3 linked regions of the Drosophila melanogaster genome follow. The protein of the gene in region 3 interacts with the protein of the main gene of each other region in a pairwise test. Each region holds a gene or a part of one and is shown on either strand. Other genes may lie near its edges.

Region 1 (7,741 bases), on a different chromosome or scaffold from region 3:
CAGTTAGTCGAAACTAGTCTAGTTAAGTTGAGAACTTGAAAGTGGTGGGGGGTCTGTGCGTCAGTGGCACTTACATGTTCGCTTGGCGCTCGGAAAACAGGCGTTGGAGGGCGTCCAGTCCACTTGTGGCCGCCCTCGCAACTGGCTGTTAACTCCATGCCGAGTACCTGCACCAATATTCGATTATTTACGGCAAAGATCTACGTACTCAAAGGTGCTATACAGGGTATATAATGGCATACCGTCAGTTCCTGTTCAGCGCTTAGATCCCGCCGTTTCCTGGCTCCCTTCGCCACGGTCTCCTGCTCCGGATTTTGGTCGGTGCTGCTTGCATGTCCATTGGATAGGTTCTGCTTGTCTAGTGGTTGCTCCCTCGTTTTTTCGTTGTCGTTTTTCTGCACAGGATACACAGGATATAATACGGTTAGAGAGGACACTCTCGAAACAGTCAGTAGAATGTGAGAGCTAAGCAATTCTATACAGCCTCAAAACGCAAGAAATCAGAAATCGAACGCATTAATTACTTCAATTCGTTGTGGTTAGGTGAAACGCAACAAAACTCAATTAGTCGAAGGATCTTGGTTAATAAACAAAAAGATTAAGTTCTTGTTACAAATTATATGTTCAAGGATTGCCGTGCCGGACCCTTTGAAGGTCTCTAACCTTATTCGAATCAGTTTCAGTGTCGCTCGTCGCCCTCTGCTTGTCTTGGCCATTCAATTGCTCGTCGGCCGCGTCTATCAAACCTTGTATGGCCGTAACAACTAGCCCCATGAAAGTACAGGGTATCAATTTGGGATTTACATTCATTTTTTTTTTTGTGTTTTTGCGAGAAACATGAAAAACGTAGAAACGACACAGAGAGTGAATATTTATATAGTTGTTTCTTTGTAGCTCTGAGTATGAAATGATGTTTGCGATTATCTTTATTGGCAATGTAAAGTTACGTATAGTGTTCGAATAGATTTCGAATAAGACTGCTTTGAATCGTAAAATATGTCCCCATCATAAGAGTTTAGTTTAGTTCAGATCGAGAGTACTCAGTGAGATGCAAACACATTTAGACTGGGTTCGTTAGTAGATACGAGTATGTGAAAAGATATGTTTATATATATATATATATATGCATATATCGCATGCCGACAGCAGACAAGCAGGTTAAATTAGAAACAGAGTCGGGAGAATTCCGTTCCATGCACTTGTTAGACTTGAAGATTAAGGACAGAGTGACATAGTTTTAGAACTGAAGGCTTTTTTTGGGGGGGAGGATGTGGCAGGGGGGTAAAAGAAACCATTCCGAGGATTCAGCTATTCACTAGAAACCAATTGAAAACAGAAATAATCTAGTTGACTTTGTTCGTTGTACTTAGTTGTGATCTGAGTTGTTGTTGGTCTGATTTTGGTCTGTTTTACTGACTGATTCTATGTGAACTGAATGATGGTTATTATTGTCTTAGAAGTTTGGCTGCCGCTTGAGAAACTTGAGGGCAATCATCTTGAAAATGAGAACACAAAAGAGATCAAATATTAATTCAAATGACAGCGAGATGGTCCAACTGAAATCACTACGATATATGATGTGCTACTAGATGTATCTGAGTCGCGTTGTATAGCTATATCTGTATCTGTATCTGCTTTTTTCCGATTCGATGACGATGGTAGGAAGCTACTGGATACTGGATGCTGGATGCTAACCTTTGCCTCATACTGATCGGTGTTCATTTCGGCCACCAACTGGGCCATCGCCCGCTCCGTGCTCTCGAGTTTCTGGCGCAGCTTCTCGATCTCCATCAGCTGCTCGGCCTCCTTCAGCTGCTGGTGGCTCTTCAGAGAGGCGGACAAACTGCTCGCCACCTCGGTGGCCGACACACTGGCGTTGTACAGCTCCTTTTCGGTGTCCTTGGCGGCCGGCTTCTTTGCGGCGGCAGTGGCGGTGGCAGCTCCTATAAAATTGTCGTACGGTTTGGTAATCAGGGCCGGAAATCGAATCAATCGAGGGACTAACGAAACTAAGGAGTATTTACACGGGTGCAGGAGTGGCAACAAAATAAATGTATATATCCATGGAAGCGTGATCAATTCGGGGTTAGTATATATATATATTTATAAATAGTATATAGGCACACAACATCTAGAATGAGTACATCTAGGTAAATGAAATAGAACACATAGTCGCTACGATACTACGATACCAAATGAGGAGGACATATTTCAAAACTCAAAAGGCCTTTGTCGAGGTCTAGAAACTCAAGATACGAACGAAACTCTATGGTCATCTATGCAACCATCTATATATATCTGGCTTACTTGTCTGATGCTCTCGCCAGCCTGATACCGTGGCATGATTTTCGGTGTGCATGGGTTTTTTTGGAAGCAGAAGAGTACAAAATGCGATTTTTTTTCGGTTAGGATTGAATCGTGAGTGCGGTGGCTAGAGCGATTGTGTGTGTGTGTGTCCAACTACGAGTGTAATAATCCGGAAGATGGCATCCGAATTGGCCTGGCACTCACCCAGTTTGCTGCCGCCCAAATCCTCCACCTGGCTGTGGTTCTGTGATCCGAAGACCTCCTGCCGGAAGGCAGGATTTGGAGGCGCCGCTCCGTACGGATCATTGGGAACTTGCTTCTTGAACATAATCTGCATGTAAGAGTTTTATAGTATTATAATTACATATATACGATCAAAGAGAGTCACCTTCATTAGGGTGTAGCCGAAGAAGACTACGATGCCAATGGTGTAGAGTGGCATTAGGAAGCCCATGCTGCTGCCCCGCTGTTGTGGCTGATGCAGTGCACCGGCGCCCATGGGTGGACGCATTCCAGGAATGGGTCCAGGCTAGAAAGTACATACATATGTCAAAAGTTACTGAAATACAATAGAATGCCGCCAACAATCAAGGTCATATTAAATGTATCAGGTATACGCCCCGGTGGTTTCTTAAGTCAATTGTCTTTAGATATTTTTGAACTGATCGAATATGTATATTCTATTGTCCTATGTAATCATAAAAATTACGTATCCGCCGCGATGTATATTGACATAAAGATTACTCAAGACAGTTGTCTTCGAAATCTTTTGAATTGATGTCTTTGTAGGAGAAGGGAATCGATTGTGTTTTATTGACAACCCATGTAATCATTAAAATTACGTATCCGCCCCGTTGTATTTTGACATGAGGCGAGGACAGCTGATTTGTGCTCCCCGGCCATTCTAGCATTCTAGTAGCGATGAGAGCAAAATGGAACTGGCGCACTGAATTTGGCACAAGTTCAATACGCAGCAGCACATTCGGCCGATCTCCCACTCATCATTTACAAATTCTTTTTTTGTGTTTTCTTTAGCGCTGTCTCTTGCCTTCAATTTGCGTGCAGTGTCATAAAAACAAAACCCGAATCCGAATAAAATAAACGTTTGGCTATTTATAAATGACTTCCAACGCGAGCGCGGATATGTCTCATCCCGCCGTCATTATAATCACATCGACCACAGCCCGCCGACCAGTATAACTATATATATTATAATTATGGATTTATCGTCCGGAGAATAATGCACACCGTATGGTTAAATGTATAGTAGCCCAACTCACCCGTCCGTCGACAATCCGCGGAGGCGGATTACTGGGCGAAGTCTTTCGTTCTAGAATCGGCACGGTGGGCGTGGCGGGAATGGCGCGACCCCGCTCCCTCATGGCCTGGTATATGGATTCCGGATGCAGGTGGGCGGGACGCTCCTGGCGCAGACCTGCGACCACAATGGATTCATTAGTAACACAATTAAACTATCAAATTTTTAATTGACATAAACACTACATTTTAGAAACCCAAACATTAATAAACTCATTAATACCGTAAAGGTTAGGAATCTAAATGTATCTCAATCGATTGTTTCATGTAGATACAATCTTGTTAGTAGAGCCAAACACCGTTAGTAAAACCAATAAGCAAATTATAAATAATCGAGCCACATACTTATTTCGCCCGTGTAAACATTGATTTGCTTGCGATACAAATGCGGACCGAAGGGCTCGACAGTGTCCTTCTTCGTGGCATTCAGAAACTGCTCCCTGTCCAGGACGACATCACAACATCCTACAACATCGACCGGACAACAACAACACCCACATACGGAAATCAAAAGAAAATCATGATGATAATTCATAAATAATAAATGATAAATGAAATTAAGTAAAGTACAACATTTATAAGCCCTAGCTCCTAATGTGGTGAATAGAATCTGATGACTTACCGCCTGGTGCTGCTCGTGGATCCTTGAAGTTTGGCTGGCTTGGAGGCACTCCTCCGAACATCATGGGATGGAAGACCTTTGGCCACAGGATGGCAATGCATCCGATCACGGTTACGATGATCAGGGCGGTCTTCTTGGGCGTCATGCCCTCCTCGACGAGCGGAGCTCTCGGCTTGGATGTGGCTGTAGCGGGCATTTTGGCTTGGTAGCGGATTCCGTGGGCTATCTGGATTCGTTTGGCTATGGGTTCGTGGTTAAAGCTAGTCCCTAAGGCAACTCTGCTATGTGTTCCTGATCGATTTGGTTCGTTGATGGCTCCCTGCGAGCTGTTGACTATGCGCTGTGTTTCTAGTTGCTGTTTAACTTTGGCATTGGCTCATTTTGGCTGGCTAATGGTTGATTTGCTGTACGTTTAAAGCATTATCTGAAAGATACATAGATGCATAATCGGTTACACGCTACAGTTCGCTGATTCCGGCTTTCGTTGGAGTTGTATTCACATCACTGATCGGTCACGAATCGCAGCGCAAAATGCTGTATACGTTTGAATATTGTTGCGGGAAAACAAAAAAGTTTATTACATAAATAGCGGTCCCGATCTTTTTTATTTTTAGCTCGCGCAATTCGCTCTTTTCGGCCCGTCTAATAATTCTTTATTATTTTCACTTTTCCCACCGCACAAATCACAATTAACGACCGCATAAATAATATTGAACGTTTCTCCAAAAGAAAATGCTTTCGTATCGCTTTTGGAAAACGGTTTTTGAACGACCAAGGGTTCGAAAAAAAATGAAAACAGAAAACTGGACAGAGCGACTGCTTACGCAAAGTTCGAATGTTGTTCCCGAACTGGCCAGGCAAATTTTTGAAACTATTAGCGAATTTTCGGCAGATCAGATCTGAAGACCCGACACACCATTCGGGCGCGCTTTTCCCCATAATCGTCGTCGGCCATTATTTTCCTTTATTTTTGATGAGACAAGTGATTTGCAGCTTGGGCCTGCACCGGGAATTTCCGAGAGCTACGCTACAGCAGCCGACATAACATTAATGCTCTCTAATTCATTTCGGAAATAGATTTTAAATCAAAATACATATAACTGCTTGGGAAATTGGGCAAACTTAATTTGAAATATTTCAGCAAAAAAATTTTATAATATAATTTTAAATTTAATTTTTTGAGCTATTGCTGCTGTTTTGCTGACCAGCACTGTGTGCGAAATTTCGTGTTTTCATATTTTTCATTTCGCAGCTTCTTCGCTCTTGTTATCACACACGCACACACACACTGCCAAGTGCTATGAGTTTTCCGACCGTTTTCCATTTCGCTTTCAAGCGCACTGACTGAAAAGTGGCGAAAGTAAAATTGTTTTTACTATGCACGTCTGTTATTTGCACAGCATCTTCTTATTTCCACCACTTTTATTTTAAAAATTTCCCTCTTCTTGTCACTGTCTACATTAATTTGGAAAACGTTTTTCGAGCTCTCTGCGCTTTTATTTTTGGAGGCACAGCATTTGTAATTTGGGTTCAATGCCGTTCGGCTTAAGACTCATCACTTATTTTTAAAAATTATGAATTCAAAGTGTGGAGATTTTGTCCTTGGAATTGCTCTCGTGTTCTGAGGTACCTTTTAAATAATTATCAGTTTCGTTTTTAAAGACTAACACCTTTGGTTTCAAAGTTCGTTTTCTTATCTAATTACGCTAATTTCAAACTGTTTGTTTGTCGTTATAAGTTTCTCTGCCAGAAAGCAGCAGCAATAATAATTGATTTTTCAGTCGACCGAACGGAGATGGGCAGCATTGGCTGTCAATCGATGCATGCGAGTGCTATCGATACTTTTCTATCGTTTAAAGTTAACGGATCCTTTACACTGATAGAAGGCTTATGGGATTTAATAAATTTTTGTATATTTGTAATTGTTTTAAATGGAATCACATTATTATTAATATATAAAGGTCAAATATATATTTGGTTCGTAAAATGGTTACTTTATTATGCATTATTATGATGTTAAACTAGACTAACTATATATAACTAAGGATCAACTAAGGATCCAATATAACGGTAATACGTAAAATGCGGAATATACAAATATTAATTCGCTCAGCACTGTTGCCCTTTATCGAAATTAAAATTATTCGATTTATCGATAGCATCGTGAGTGGTCCACCCAGCTCCAATGTTTTCGTCTTCTTTGTGTTATAAAATTAACAATTTATAAATACGCATTTTCCGCTGGACCACCGAATATCGTCGTGACTTTGAAGAATCACAGTGCTATCAATCCTCGAAAGCAAAAGGTTGTAAAATCGAAAGTGAACGCGCGCCTGGCGTGACTGGTTTCTAGGCTTTCACCCCACGAAACTGGAGCTAACAATGGACAGCGAGTCGTTGGCCTGTTCGTCGGTGGAGAAGGACCTGACCCGAGTGGTCAGCAAACTGGAGCAGCTTCACGAGAACGCAGAGGCGGACATCGGAGATATAGCCACACAGATGTCGGAGCTGGTAGAGGTTCTCAGCAGGGCGGAGCAGCTGGTGACCACTCTGAACTCGAGCACCCAGGTGTCCCAGGACGATCCCATGGGCGATGCGGTGAGCATGCAGGTGGAGACGGAACCGACGGCACCACAACGCCTAACCGAGCGCCAAGTGGAGAGCGTCCGGAATGCTCTCGCCAGGTGCCACGAGCGCGTGCAAAAACTGTCCACGGAGCACCGCGATCTGCACGGCTCCATTTCGAAGATCGGCAAGGCCATTGACCGCAACTTTAGCGCCGACTTCTCGTCCACCATGCGAGTGGACGTGCTGCAGGACGAGGAGAACCTGATGTTGCTGAACAAGGCCATTGCCAAGCATTATTGTCGCCAGGGCATGGACGATGTGGCTCGCACGCTAATCCGCGAGTGCAAGATGTCGCCGGAGCATGCCCAGGATGTGTTCGACTCGGAGCGCGAGTTTGCCGACATCTACGGCATTTGGGTGAAGATCCAAAAGCGGGATCTGACTGACGCCCTCAAGTGGGCAAAGATGTACTCCCAGCAGCTGAGTGACCGCCACTCGCTCATAGAGTTCCGGCTGCACCGCATGCGTTTCATGCAGCTGGTCTCCTACGGATTGGACTCGCAGCGCGAGGCCATCTCCTACGCTCGACTGAACTTCAAGAAGTTTGCTGTGCGCTATGAGCACGAAATAGCCAACTTGATGGCCAGCTTTATATATCTGCCCAGTGGACTGGAGAACTCGCCTTACAAGCACTTCTTGGGCCAGGAGAAGTGGACCGAACTGTCGTTCATATTCCTCAAAGACGCATGCCAACTGCTAGGCATTAGCAAGAACTCCGCCCTGTCTGTTGTGGTCAATGCCGGATGCACTGCCCTGCCCGCCTTGCTCAATATCAAGCAGGTGATGCAGTCGCGCCAAGTCCTTGGCATGTGGAACGGCTGCGACGAGTTGCCCATTGAGATCGATCTGCAGCCGGAATTCCGATTC
Region 2 (2,810 bases), on a different chromosome or scaffold from region 3:
TAACACTTTTTTGTATGTTTGCTTAGCTTAGGTTTTTACCTGGCAAAAACGCAGCAGGGGTTGGGCATCGGATTGTGGCAGCCTCGAAGTAACAATAATAAAAGCCGGGCGGAGGGAAACAAAATTGATGTTCCCTGCTGCAGTAGCTACATACATATATGGCAGGAAACTATATTGCCACATAGGCAATTTCATTGTGCGATATACATATATTCTGGCAGATATGTTAGGGACCCTGAGCAAATTGGTTTACCCGGCTTACCCTTTTCACACAACTTTAGTTGAACTCCCACTACACAACTGAAAATAAAAAGGTAGTTTAAGAAGCTAGTTTGCTTATAATATATGGGATATGTAAAGCATTGATAAAAAGTCAATTACAAAGGTTTTGTAAATGTAATTGTTGTAATTCGTAGCACACTTTTACGCATACAAAATTTCCAACAACTTGCCCCTTTTAGTTAAATATTTAATTAAATGTTGTAATGCAGTTTAACATATACATTTTCACTCAAACTTTGTACCACCATTTTGTTGCCTTCCAGGTAGAAGAGGTAAAAGGGGGAGTGGACCTTGAGAGAGTTGCACAATTTGCTAATTACCGCAATCAAAGTTTTCTTGTTGGGCAGCCAAAAACAGCTTCAAAAGCACAAAACTGATAAATTATAAATTAAAGGGAATCTCAGGAAAGTTGGCTCTTTCCCTATCTTTAGTTTACACAGCGAACTGTTGTGAGTATTCCCTCGTTTTTTTTTTTTTTTTATGCTTGGATTCGAGTGCATAATTTACGAGTTGAGCTCGCTGCCAATATTTCAATTACTCTACGGCATTTCGAGCAGTCTTCCTTCTTGCCTCCCTATCCCAGAAGCAATTTCAATTGAGCTTAGTGCTTGCGGAGTACTCTTTTCGGTAGGCGGTTTTGTCTCAGGGCGAAATTAGTGGCCAAAACTGCGGCAGATTACAGGCCAGGCCAAGAGCGAACTTCAAACAATTATTTGGCCAGCTGGGCTGGGAAGCTGGCTTTTAATTTGCTTAGCCCCTGCCCATGAATAATGCAATACGAGAAAGAAACGAGACCAAGAAGAATTTTTGTATAATTGCAGGGCGCACAAAATTTCGCTTAGAATCTCCTCGGGCCACATAATTGCTGAGTGGAAAGGGGCGGCAGAAAGTTAAATGTAAATTAAATATTTCCCTCGTCTTTTCTTTAGCAAAACGCAAGTTTTATCCGGCTCTTAAGTCAAATATTCACCTGCTACAGGAAGGCCAGTGAATTAACATGAAAATGAATGGACTTCAGGTGAAATCTTTATTACAAACAATTTGCGGTGTCCTGCGAATACAATGGTAACTAAAATAATTATTTTGAGAAGCTCTTTTATAATTTCCCGAAATATTACGTTAAATGTAAATTTTTGTTGTTTTTTATGCAAACAATTTAAGTATATACACCAGTTCGTTTTTATTTCCAGTGCCCATAATAAGCCCCGTTTCAACTGCTATTTGAAGGCACGATTGCATCGATTAATTATGGCTGTCATCGTGTAAATTGTGCTAAATTATTATTATCAATGTTGTTGGCCTGATGACAAACATTCAATTTCGCGAATGTGTCGCGCTCGACGGACACCCAGGATACAGATACACAGGACGACCCGTTGAAGCGGAGCGACCAAATTGCAATTGTGATATTGACAATAATGCAATCAAATAATCAATCAATTAATGTCTGCTTGAATTAATGCCGAATATTATGTGCTATCGTCAATGCCATCATTAGCACTAAATTCAATTACGTTGCAGGCATATCCTGTTGCCCTCCATGATGATTCATCATTGTTAGCGTACTTTTCCGATGAGGCACGGCGTACACGAATCCTAATCCCAGGAGCCTGTGGCCCACACATTACTCTCGGCCTTTAGAAAAACTTCAAAATTTGTGGCTTAAATTTGGGGAGCCGGAAAAATATTCCATGGCTGGATCACCTGGCGTTAAGGATAAGCTGAATCTGATTGTTGGCGGGGACATTTGCGAGGTATACCGGGATGGATTCAATTGCGGATCCTTTGGCTTCTGGTGCGGACTCGTCGGATTGGCCGTCTTCATAATTTTTCTCGCCTACTTTCATATAAATCGGGAGCGAATAGATCCGACGTCATAATCCCCCTAAATGTGGACAATTCTACATAAATGTGTCATAAATAAAAAGTAATTTAAAAAAAAGTACACATAAATCTTTTGATTTTGTTAAAAAAAACCCTTTTATTCCATTAAAGATTAAAGTTGGATCCAAAAAAAAAGTTGTGTAATGCATTCATTAGCGTGTTATATATTCTTTATGAGCTCTCCTTCACATACAAAGCTCTTTGAGTTGTCTCTCAAATGAAATCCCGTAATTCCGTCAATCCAAATTGATATTTTTATTCATCAAGCTCGATTTTCATGAAATTCATCCTTAAATCGTTGTTAAAAATGCATGTGCATATTTTTCTGCCGGCTCTTATTACCATGCACCTACATATTTATCACTGCTTGATGGACCCAAAACGGATGCTATGTAAATTTTTACTCGGTCGATACATTTGACAGAGCTCATATACACTCTCGTATATAAAATGCCTCAACTTCGTTTGATTTATGCATCATTCACGCGCAATTTATCGTAAAAATTACAAAAAAAGTTCAGCGCATAAAAAAGAAAATGGAAATTCACGTTTTTCGAATCTACAGACAAAGTGCACTGGCGTTAAAAGTCACGGGGGTCATTTATTGGGTAGTTTATAATGCAGTACAACATAACTGATTTCCA
Region 3 (3,305 bases):
CTGGCGGGGATTGCATCCGGGCTATACTCACTGGCAAGGGTAGGAACAACCAGATCCGCAGCTGCAGCCATTGTCTTCCAATCTCACACGCACACACACACAGGAACAAGCACGTCGGTGGTGTTGTTGCTGTTGTTTTTGTTGTCGTGTCGTCTGATGTACAATCAGTGTTGGTCAACGATTTCGTGCTTGAATTGGTCACACACGGTTGCCGTGTACGCGGTGTATCGATAAGCGATAGTAAACATGCATGGGCATTGGCGCCACAACGACACGTTTAAACATCAACCAAACCAAACCGAACGTATTTAGAACTCCAACAAAATATCTGCTCCACGTGAATTTAAAAACATTTTAGTACTAAAAAATTTGGAACAGAAACGCTAAGCATTTCGACTGCTCCAATCGAAGGTGTGCTGATGGAATCTATATGTTAGAACAATTATTTTCAAAAATCCAATCGCGGCATATAAAATATGAGCGGTTATTTTCGGATATTTGGCTAGGAAACGGTAGGAAATATTTAGAGTATATATTACATCTTAACACAGCTAAACATTCTTTATTGAACAAATAAATCCAAAGTTATATGAACACAATTTAAATCTAACCAACGAATTTGGCGATTAATTGTGTTTAAATCTATACACTTTCTGATCGCGAGTTTTTATCTTGTAACACGTTAAAATATATACATATATTCTTAATTCGAAAGCTGATTTAAGAGACTAAGAGCCGAACAGCCATTTACTACAAATCTAAATCAGATATTAATAACACCAGGAACTCACAAAATACATAGATCGAAGTGGAATACATATAATTTACATACAACTAAGATATTATATTCCGACATCATCGACTGATGAGATAGCTCTCTGACTAAAGACTTGCCCGCACTTAGTGGACCGTATGAGGCAACACCAAATCTTGGAATTTTAAACATTAAACTAATAGATCACACAAGTCTGTACATTCAGGTAGGGTGAGCCCAGGCTCGGCGCCACTTCAGCGATAGAGCCGCACCTGCTGCTTGAGATCCTGGTCGCTTATTCGGTCCTGGAGGTTCAATTCCGCCTCCTGTTTGCGCAGGAGCTCAAAGATGGCCGCCAGCTGCTCGCGCTCTATTCGGCGCTCCTCCTCGATTTGGCTGGGAGTCAGGGTCTTCTCCATCTTATGCTGGAGCCTCTTGGCCTTGAGCTGGCCCATCAGGTGGTTGTAGCTGTGCTCGGGCAGCTGTTCCTCGATTAGCTCAACTTCGCTTTCGGTGGAGTTCTCTTCGTAGGCCTCGTCATCGTCGGTTTCCTCCCCTTGCGGAGTCCGTGACTCGGAATCCTCCTCATCGCGCGGCTCGTCGGCCCCCAGGCCCTCGTCCTCCAGTTCCTGCAAGATAATGTAAGGAAATATTCCAGGAGACGTCTACTTCTTCCGGCAAAAACACCCACGCCTTTGTCCTTGAAGATGTTGGCGAAGTAGAAGGCGACCAAAACGCACAGCAGAAGGGTGACCAGCGCTACCGAGTAGTGGCCTGGTAGTCCAAGAAAGAGAACATCCAGCGAAGGCAGAAAATCCTGCATTTCGAACTCTTTTTGCTATTTGTTGTGACTGAGTTCACTATTCTTGTTTTTCTTGGGGCGCAGTGTGGCCGTTAGCTGCGAACGAAATATTGCCAAGCAGCGCTAAGCGGATTTTCAAAAGGTTTTTTTTTTAATATTTTATATATTGGAAAAGTGAAGTACCTAATCCAACTTTGTTTAGTAAACTAACACTAAACGCATACATTTTAACAATCAAGAAATGGTAAATTACAAAATGCTTTAATATCGATGAAATCCACGCAGTAGTAGATCATCACATCATTTAAATAAATATTCTTAAGTCTATTGGCTGATGTTCATAGCAGATGTGTCCGAGCTCACATCTGCAATGTGGAATGAGGCATCTTCGGCGGGCATGTCATCCTCATCGGTGTACAATCGGCGTAGGCGCTCCTTATAGCTTTTAAAGTATAAGGGTTATTAAATTCGGAATGCATGAACAAATTAGGGCGTCTTACAGTTCGCTATCAGGATTATTGGCTTGATTTCGGCACTTGTCCAACTTTTTCTCGATGGCCTTGACCTTCTCCCGATCGGGCTGCTGATATTGCTTCACCATTATGCGAATTTCTGTCGGGAAAAAGGCATGTAGGGCTGGGCGCACCATCTCACAGCACAAACTTACTTCGCACGGCATCTATGAGTCCGGGTAGCTTCTCCCTGGCGGAGACAAACAGAAGATCCGTCACATAGCTATCGAGATTCTCTTGCTCTCTGCTGGCCGCGTGGAGGACGGCAGCCAATGCAATTTGCGAAGGCGTATGCAGAAGACAGGCATCCGAGTAGTACGTGGAATCAATGAAACTATCAATATGTGGCCGCAGACGATCTGGATTCTGCATATTGCTGCGAGTCTGAAACAAACCAATATGAACGAAACAATCTGGAGAGCAAATGTGAATATATATCGCACTTTTATATCTATCAGGAAACCCTCGATGGGTCTGAACGGATTGTGTATGGTGAGGTAGTAGTTGAGCTGTCCAATCAGCAGTAATTCATTGGACAACACTATGTCGGTGGCCTTGTTCCTGTCGCCCTTGATGTTGTTTACGAACTGGTTGATGGACACGTTGAACTCCTCAACTTTGCAGGCAACGAACACGCATGTGGCTCTGAAAAGGTTTATACATTTTTAGAATGTTTTGCTTTTCAGCTGGGTGTTTGCTGCTCTCAGGTGAGCGTTCCTACAGAATCTCCTTGGGGTGATAGTCCATGGGGGAGTTGTTCAGATAGAACCGCTTGAAGTAGTGGAAGGCCGTGCCCACAACGCACTTGGGCATCGTCGGTTCGAAGCGGCGGCAGAAATCGAACAGGTAGATCTCGTACTGCTTCAGCAACAGGCGCTCCTCCGCCGACGTGAGAAAGTGCTCATTGAGGTCGCGACCCTGCGCCTCCTCCTCGTGCGACTCGATGTACTTGCTGTTCTGCTCCACGCGGAACTCCATGAGCTGGCCCTCATTGGCGAATGTCCAGGACCTCTTTTGCGAGCTCACAGGATACATCTTGCTCAGCTGCCGGCGAATTTATGCCGATTCGAAACTCAGACACCCTGCATGGTGTTACCGATTGCGGGACGGAGAAAAATACCAGTTGTGAAAAAATATTAGGGTGATTCGTACAATAGTCACTTTTATTTCATTGGAAATCAGAAGCGCAAGATTGGCAAAAATTGAGAACGTATAACTAACTGTATGGGCTATGATT

The links. Proteins that work in one complex are often made in the same cells at the same time.
Region 1: the proteins of CG7407 (region 3) and RIC-3 interact in a two-hybrid assay, tested with the Drosophila melanogaster proteins (one large-scale study listed by BioGRID).
Region 2: the proteins of CG7407 (region 3) and CG34170 interact in a two-hybrid assay, tested with the Drosophila melanogaster proteins (one large-scale study listed by BioGRID).

What each region holds. Positions count from the first base shown.
Region 1 is NT_033778.4:21,016,088-21,023,828, reverse strand, and holds the start of RIC-3 (RIC3 acetylcholine receptor chaperone), read right to left. Parts: upstream 6,046-7,741; 5' UTR 5,877-6,045; intron 5,685-5,876; exon of another isoform or gene 5,561-5,684; intron 5,098-5,560; exon of another isoform or gene 5,071-5,097; intron 4,767-5,070; exon of another isoform or gene 4,747-4,766; intron 4,671-4,746; 5' UTR 4,443-4,670; coding exon 4,247-4,442; intron 4,090-4,246; coding exon 3,970-4,089; intron 3,743-3,969; coding exon 3,588-3,742; intron 2,837-3,587; coding exon 2,696-2,836; intron 2,639-2,695; coding exon 2,512-2,638; intron 2,329-2,511; coding exon of another isoform or gene 2,308-2,328; intron 1,944-2,307; coding exon 1,696-1,943; intron 1,496-1,695; coding exon of another isoform or gene 1,454-1,495; exon of another isoform or gene 1,367-1,453; intron 765-1,366; coding exon of another isoform or gene 664-764; intron 396-663; coding exon 243-395; intron 168-242; coding exon 75-167; intron 1-74. Other genes in the region: Sou (souji), read left to right, coding at 6,629-7,741.
Region 2 is NT_033779.5:17,310,923-17,313,732, reverse strand, and holds CG34170 (uncharacterized protein), read left to right. Parts: upstream 1-1,912; 5' UTR 1,913-1,973; coding exon 1,974-2,162; 3' UTR 2,163-2,265; downstream 2,266-2,810.
Region 3 is NT_037436.4:21,821,804-21,825,108, reverse strand, and holds CG7407 (uncharacterized protein), read right to left. Parts: upstream 1,649-3,305; 5' UTR 1,578-1,648; coding exon 1,446-1,577; intron 1,384-1,445; coding exon 1,009-1,383; 3' UTR 538-1,008; downstream 1-537. Other genes in the region: eIF2A (eukaryotic translation initiation factor 2A), read right to left, coding at 32-71; CycH (cyclin H), read right to left, coding at 1,881-1,998, 2,057-2,168, 2,224-2,452, 2,512-2,713, 2,790-3,103.